Danio rerio: one gene and its partner. The protein of the gene in region 2 interacts with the protein of the main gene of each other region in a pairwise test. Links are inferred from orthologs where the notes say so. Each region holds a gene or a part of one and is shown on either strand. Other genes may lie near its edges.

What was found.
Region 1: the proteins of zfyve27 (region 2) and fkbp8 interact in binary tests that used the Homo sapiens proteins (3 or more experiments, as listed by UniProt). The link is inferred for Danio rerio from reciprocal best matches to the Homo sapiens genes ZFYVE27 and FKBP8.

The regions. Positions count from the first base shown.
Region 1 is NC_133197.1:20,749,356-20,753,189, reverse strand, and holds part of fkbp8 (peptidyl-prolyl cis-trans isomerase FKBP8), read left to right. Parts: intron 1-118; coding exon 119-339; intron 340-3,834. UniProt on the Homo sapiens protein: Constitutively inactive PPiase, which becomes active when bound to calmodulin and calcium. Seems to act as a chaperone for BCL2, targets it to the mitochondria and modulates its phosphorylation state.
Region 2 is NC_133176.1:58,370,338-58,374,706, reverse strand, and holds the start of zfyve27 (protrudin), read right to left. Parts: upstream 2,893-4,369; 5' UTR 2,765-2,892; intron 1-2,764. Other genes in the region: si:ch211-196h16.5 (NLR family CARD domain-containing protein 3), read right to left, coding at 4,246-4,270. UniProt on the Homo sapiens protein: Key regulator of RAB11-dependent vesicular trafficking during neurite extension through polarized membrane transport. Promotes axonal elongation and contributes to the establishment of neuronal cell polarity.

The DNA of each region.
Region 1 (3,834 bases), on a different chromosome or scaffold from region 2:
AACACACAGCAATAAACTGCAAATTCTGAGACACTGAGTATATTCTTAGAGAGAATTGTCTCTTAATTTTGTTTATATATTTACATGTCTGTTTTTCATGTTGGATGTTCTCCTTCAGCTCTGCTCCTGCTGTTCCTCCTGATGCTGATCTCCTCCTGGAGGTGCAGCTGTTGTCTGCTGATGAAGCCCTGGACCTGGAGCTCATGCCACCGTCTGAGAGGATCATTCTGGCCAACAGGAAGCGAGAGAGAGGAAACGTCCACTACCAGCGCGCCGACTATGCCTTTGCTGTCAACTCGTATGGAATTGCACTACAGATAACTGAAGCAAGTTCGAGAGGTAATGCTCCTTAAAGTCCATGTAAATCGGAAGTTGCTGAGACTTTTATTTCAGTGTGTTGATGTACTGTAACGGAATATTGATTAAGGGGCGGGGCTTTCTTTTTGGTCTTCATTTCCTTATAGCAAACTAACGGTAAAGAATATTGTAGGTAAAACGGTCAAACTGATGTTAGAAGTGAAAAGAGTCACTCGAAACACAGATCCTTTAATTAAAAACTTTCATTGAAGATTACTAAAACAAACTTTTTTTAAGTGGATTAACTTTAAGGATTAATAGTTCACCTAAAGAATAATAATGTGCGGTACCCAAATAAACATAAGGGTACTTAAGGGTATCGATTTAGGTGACCCGTTTGGTTTGATTAGACTCTTATTCACAAGCTCTCGATTTGTTTTCCTTTTAATTGAATACATTATTAATAGAAATGCTGTTGATATTCATTAAAAAAAAATCAGTAAACACTATTTCAGGTAAGCAATTAATGCCTAGTTCAGACTGTGTGATTTTAGCCCCGATTTTAGCTCGCTGACAGGTTTTTTAGAAATCGCCGACAAATGCCTGAAATCACAGGCAAATCGCTGCTCGTGCACGTGAGTGACAATCACACAGTATAAACTATCAAAGACGCGATCTGAGAAAATCGCAGATGAGTCGCCGATGCCTGTGAGATATTTGGCATGCTAAATTTCTGGAGCTGTCGGCGATTCAAATCATGCTGTGTGAATTGAGTTTTGACAGAAAATAACATCAGCCATCGCCTACAGCCAATGAGAGAGCAGCATTCACTTGTGTGTGCGTGTGTGTATACCTGCTGCAGGCCGGCGGGAGGCTGGGGGAGAAGTTAAAAGCGCTCTTTTTCGGTTTATTTGGACCCACGAAATGGAGGAAAAACTAGTGGAGCTTTGAAAGGACTCAGGAGCAACCGTGTCTGTTTGACGTTTCATACAGAAAAAATTAGTTTATTATTAACGTTCAGGAGAAATGGCTAATTCCCTTTAAACTGAGGTAAGCAAACATGTACATGTTCTACCCCATTAAAGCCTTCTTTCTCATTATGTAGTTAATAACAAAAGATATACGACATGTTTTTGGCTGTGAGACGTAGTTTGGACGAAGTTGTCGGCGGTTCTTCCTATAGTAAAGTCATGCAATATGAAAGTCCCTGTCGCCGATCCATCTTGCAGTGTAAACAAAGCAGCGACGAAACGCTAGCCCAGATAGTCATGCAGTGTGAAAACATCTGTGACACGACTACTTTGAAAATCATGCAGTCTGAACTCGGCATTAGACAATAATCAGACTTTGATTGAAGATTACCAAAACAAACCTTTCTTTTCAAGTGGATTTACTTGACAAATTAATAATTTACCTAAAGAAGAATCCAGCAAAAAATGACTTAATCGTATCGATTCAGATGACCCCTTTGATTTGATTCTGATTCGCAAGCTTTGTATTCAATTTTACATTGAGTACATTTTAAATACTAATGCTGCTGATATTCATAACAATTATCAGTTAACACTTTATTTTAGGTGCATGTGTAAATTAAAACAGAATTTCAGATGCATGAATTTTAGTCATAATATGAAATATAGAAGGGGTTTTCAAAGTCGGAGACAAGGAATTTTATTCTTTTTATTCATTTAACTTCGTATTTTGTAATTATTCTAAATAAAACACAGCAATGAAACATATTTAGTCAAGAGCAGTGAATGTTTTATTTGTATTTTGTTATTATTAATTAAAGTTAATATTATAACAGGCCTCGAAATCAACTTTTTTACTTCGTAGTGCCAGTGCTTCCAACTTCATATATTTAGGAGCACCAGAAAAAATTTAGGAGCACCCACGAAAAATGAGTGAGCACCACTGCATATTGTATTTTAAAAGATTTATTGTATTTGAAAACAACATCAATTAGGACAAACAAAAAAAAACAGAAACTGTCTAACTAATGCTGTGATTACTTATTAATATTTGTGCAATAACTTCAAAACGAATGAATGATGACGAAAATGACAATAATACTAGCAATGAATTACATTTCTCATTATCATGCTGTCTTGAATGTGCTTGAATGCAAGTTATTTGCTATCAAAAGTCTGTTACATTATGAAAAATAAATATATGAATTGCATTTAACAAAAATAAAGCATTGCAGTAAGAAATATACAGTTTGCACTATTGTTTTAATATGCATCTCAATTTAATAAATAGTATTTCTGCAACAAAACAAATGAAAGACTATAATAAATCATTCAATTAAATGCTGAAATTTGCAACAGTTTTTTTGTTAGTAACTAAATAGAAAAATAAAAAAAACATCTCAAGAAAGAATGGACAAAAGAAAGGAAGAAAAGTCTCAGTTCTACCACTCTAAAGGTTTTGGTTTGGGTTTTTGTCATTTTAAATGCTCAGTCTCGTTTTGCACTGATTTATATTTTACTTGATTTATATCAAGTACTGATTTATATTTTATTTTACTGTTTACTTTTTTACTCTTCAGCCGTTTGCATTTCCCATGGTCACAAAAGCTCCCTAACATCTGACAGCAGAAAGCCTTGAGTGATTGACAGCTAATATGAACCAATATAGCGGCAGGGAAGAGCGATTCAGCATGTCTTTAGAAAAAATTCTAAACAGGTCACACTATCCCCATTACATGCAGAGCACAAATGCTCCCAAATATCTTATGAGGTCGCATAGATTAAATTTCAGGCGCATATGCAACGAAAATGCTCGCAATTTTGAGCCTTGTATTAATAACTGCATAATATAATATATATAATAATTATTTATTAGAGATGCTCCACAACCAAAATTCTGATCTGAAACTGAAAAATTCTGGGTGCACTTGTCTGAAAACTGAAACCAAAGATGCTTTGTAACATTCATTTATTCATTTTCTTTTCGACTTAGTCCCTTTGTTAATCTGGGGTCGCCACTGTGGAATGAACCGCCAACTTATCCAGCAAATGTTTTACGCAGCGGATGCCCTCCCAGCTGCAACCCAACACCGAACACATCCATACCCACTCATTCACACACCACCCTCATACACTATGGTCAATTTTAGCATACCCATTTCATCTATACCACATGTCTTTGGACTGTGGGGGAAACCGGAGCACCCAGAGGAAACCCACACGAACACGGGGAGAACATGCAAACTCCACACAGAAATGCCAACTGACCCAGTCGAAGCTCGAACAAGCGACCTTCTTGCTGTGAGGCGTACGTGCTACCCACTGCGTCATCTGGTTTGTAATAATGATTTATTATTTTATAATGTAATATAAAGTAGTTTTGTAAGATTCTAAATTTAACTTTATATTATACTGATTTATAAAAACACAAGCCAATTAAATAACCCCATTTTATTAACATTAAAATTGTATTGCCTGTGATTGAGAGGCGTCATTTTACAGTGTTGCCATGACAGCGCAGTGGCACTATTGCAAGCAGCAGGAGGAGCATGCAAAGAGAAATAAG
Region 2 (4,369 bases):
ACTTTTTTTGGTCAATCGAGGCATGGGAGGTTAACCATTTTCAAGGTATAACCGCGGTTTGGAAAAGTCAAGATTTTAAAACCGACAACATTTACTGTAACACCATTCCAAAGGTATGTGTAAGATTTTTTTTAAATGTTTTTTTTTTTTTTTTTTTAGGACAAGAGTATCTCCATCAGAAAAGATATGCAAAGATGCGGTTTTAAATTGTAAAGAAGTCTGTGCGTTTGAAACTAATGAAGACAGCAGAAGTCAGTAATTCATTTTTAATATAGAATAAATGACCAAACATTCATATAATATTCATACTAATATTCAGTCTGACATGTTTACTTCTGCAAAATATTTTAAATGTTTCTCAAATCTCAAAATAAGATATATTGTGTTTAAAAGGGGAAAAAAGTTTTTGTTTTTTTACCCAGACATTCAAAGAGACCATATTTAAGAGCAGTAATCACAATACTGTGAAACTGATAATTTTATTCAAGGTTATCATACTGTCAGAATCTATACCGGCCCATGCTTAGTCAAATCCATAGCGCATGTTTATTTTCCTCATTTAAAATATAAAGCATGTTTACAGATTTGTATTTTTCTGATCCCGTAACTCTGTGGTGAGTTGTTTTAGAAAATATAAACAGATGTTTTAATATAATGTTAACATATACTTTCTCTGCAAATTTATGTTTTGAGATTTTACTGCAAGCATCACATCTGTAACGCTGGAATTGCACTTTTACAATCTAGTCATGCAGTTATATTCACATGCAGAAATGTATATGTAACGGAGGCCAGCTAGTGTGTGCTGTGCAGGTAAACCTCACTCCTCTGACCTCTAAAGGTGCTCTAGCGACAGCCGCTAGAGGCCATGGTATTTAGCCTCCTTGGTAGAGCACCCAACTCCCATGCGGAAGGTCGCCGGTTGGATACCAGCTCGGAGCAGGTTGGGTGGCACAGGACTGGTGGGGTTACATTGGTGCCGTGACCCGGTTGGGAGTGAGGTTTAGGGGGTGAGTGTAGCGGAGGCCAGCTAGTGTGTGCTGTGCAGGTAAACCTCACTCCTCTGACCTCTAAAGGTGCTCTAGCGACAGCCGCTAGAGGCCATGGTATTTAGCCTCCTTGGTAGAGCACCCAACTCCCATGCGGAAGGTCGCCGGTTGGATACCAGCTCGGAGCAGGTTGGGTGGCACAGGACTGGTGGGGTTACATTGGTGCCGTGACCCGGTTGGGAGTGAGGTTTAGGGGGTGAGTGTAGCGGAGGCCAGCTAGTGTGTGCTGTGCAGGTAAACCTCACTCCTCTGACCTCTAAAGGTGCTCTAGCGACAGCCGCTAGAGGCCATGGTATTTAGCCTCCTTGGTAGAGCACCCAACTCCCATGCGGAAGGTCGCCGGTTGGATACCAGCTCGGAGCAGGTTGGGTGGCACAGGACTGGTGGGGTTACATTGGTGCCGTGACCCGGTTGGGAGTGAGGTTTAGGGGGTGAGTGTAGCGGAGGCCAGCTAGTGTGTGCTGTGCAGGTAAACCTCACTCCTCTGACCTCTAAAGGTGCTCTAGCGACAGCCGCTAGAGGCCATGGTCTTTAGCCTCCTTGGTAGAGCACCCGACTCCCATGCGGAAGGTCGCGGTTCGATACCAGCTCGGAGCGGGTTGGGTAGCGTAGGACCGGCAGGGTTACATATACATAGTAGGTACAAATATAGATTGTAAAGTTTATAAACTATATGTAAATACACTTCACATTATTTAGGATGCAATTATATTATTATTTTGGATGTGATTAATCATTTTTCAGCTCTAATATTAATAAAGGAACAAGTCATCTTTACAGATCAACGACAAGGATAGTGGAATGTTAAAATTAAAAAGCAAGTCGGCGGCAACAGCCTAGTGGTTAAGTGACATATTGCACTGAGGTGTTAACGGCGACCTGAGTTTGATTCCCGACTCGAGGTCCGTTGCCGACTTTTCCCATCTCTCGGCTTCCAATGCTTTCCTGTCTGTAACCTCCACTATCCTATCCCAATAAAAAAGGTGAAAACCCCCTTAAAATATTAATATTAAAAAGGAAAATGTATGATGACTAATAAGTATTTTGGGTCTGCAATGTGATTTGATTTTTAATAAATAGTATTGTATAATTTCTTTTAATGTTCGGTTAGGCTATTTTCATGGCAAAACAGAAAGAAAAAAGAAAATATAAATAAAGTTAAGACAATAATATCAGCAAACAAACAAACATAACTTACATTACGTAGGATTTTTGTGTGAAATATGTAATAAGTTTTTTACTTTCTCTGACAAAAACCTGTGAGTTTATAAGTAAGATTTCTACAAACCTTAACAGCAGGACAGACTAATAAAATATCTGTAACAGATCCTTACCTTTTAGTTGAAATTTGTTTTGACAAATCAATCTAGTTTAGACTCGTAAATAAACTCTTTAATATGTCATCAGATGATTATTGTTTTAAAATAAATACGGCTTTATTAAAAAAAACTTAATAAATATACGTATATCTACTTTTAAAACAAAATAACATTTCTTTCAAATCAAGAGAGGAAAGAAAACAATCGGAAGTCAAACTAATTAGATAAATACTTTAACGTTATATAAATATCTGACGATGACAGTTTGTACAATAATAACAAGAATAGATAAGATTTTCTCTATGAGAGTAAATGAGAGTAAAAATAAAGGCAGAAAACAGAAATACTGTCATATTTACATGAGCAAGAAGAAAACAAAAACACAAAATGGCTTACCTTTAATCCTCAAAACACCGTCTTCTGCTGCTACAGAGTCATTAAAAGTATATCATTCGATTAAAGATGAGAAATATAACATTTAACATACATAAAACTACATACAAAAGAGGTAAACTCGCTAATGTGCAGCGACTTCTGCTTCCGCAATTCACAGGCACGATGTGTTGATGCCAGAGTCGATGATGTCAGGGAGAAAAGAGCGCCGATCACATCGATGAGTCCTAGATAGTCAGGAAATGTATGACTTTAATTGTATTATTTTTATATTTTATGATGATTGTTTTTGTGCCAATTATAGTGTTTGGACATAATGCATTAATATATCTATAGTATCTATAATAATATCCATAATATCTATGCTAAGCTTATAAGCAAGATTTGCTTATAATTCCGATAAGGCTTATTACAATTTAATTAGCTGACTTTACAAAGAAAACAACAGTGATTTAAATGCTTTATTTAAAATTGAGCGTGTTAACTGTTCACAATACGTAATGTGTGCTGACAAAATTGGGTTGATATGATTCATTCACACTTTTATTAATATCATTTGCTGTTTAGGTAGACTTTCATGAGTACAGTGAATACAAGAATACTGAAATATTAAAATTGTTGACATTGCATAATGTGTATATTTAATATTTTAGTTTACAACATAGAGCACAATATCAGTAAAAAAAAAAAACTTAGAGGATGCACGTATATGTATTATAAACACAATAGTTACATAAAAATAACAAATACATTTTCTGTCATATTATAAACCATGACATTTTTCATATATATATATATATATATATATATATATATATATATATATATATATATATATATATATATATATATATATATATATATTCATATTAACAATTTTCATATAACAATACTGTACATCTGTACATAACAATGTCCTGTACATCAATTTACAATATAGGTCTGAAATGTGAAGGTTAAGGTGAAAGGTGTAAATCAGCCTGACTAGTGAGATATTTACATGTGTGCATGTGACATGGTGACTGATGTAATTATGAATAAATGATTTAATCTTGAGTAATTATCTCCTGAACTGGATCATGTCACTCTTCAATATGCCGCTGTTTCTCTTTAGTCAGACTGAAGGAAAGCTGAATCACTCGACACTGTCCAGAATCATCTCACATGTGTGAAGAGACAGAAAGTTTCTCTGTTTTCTCGTGGTTTTCTCTCTTCATGACGTGCTCCATCACAGGTGGAGGAAACAGAAAGAGCATCCGCTTATTTGTGTTTTAATTCTGCAGCATTGAGTTTCTCTGTGAGCAGATATGAATAAAGCAGTTCCTGCAGCATTTCTTCCTCTTCTCTGATGCACATTAATGATGGAGTGTTTCAGTCACTGATGATGATGTTTAGTCGTCCAGCAGAGTCTTTATAAACTCCAGCAGCACGATCACTGACACTTCACTTCTGCACAGTTTAATGTGTCTGTAGAGACTCCACATTCAACATATAAAACCCCAGCTGATACTGAATAAAACACACAGAAACACACACATTATCAAGCGTCACTGAGACACATCTGTACAGCTGATTCAGTTCACATGAGATTATTATATGATCTATGAA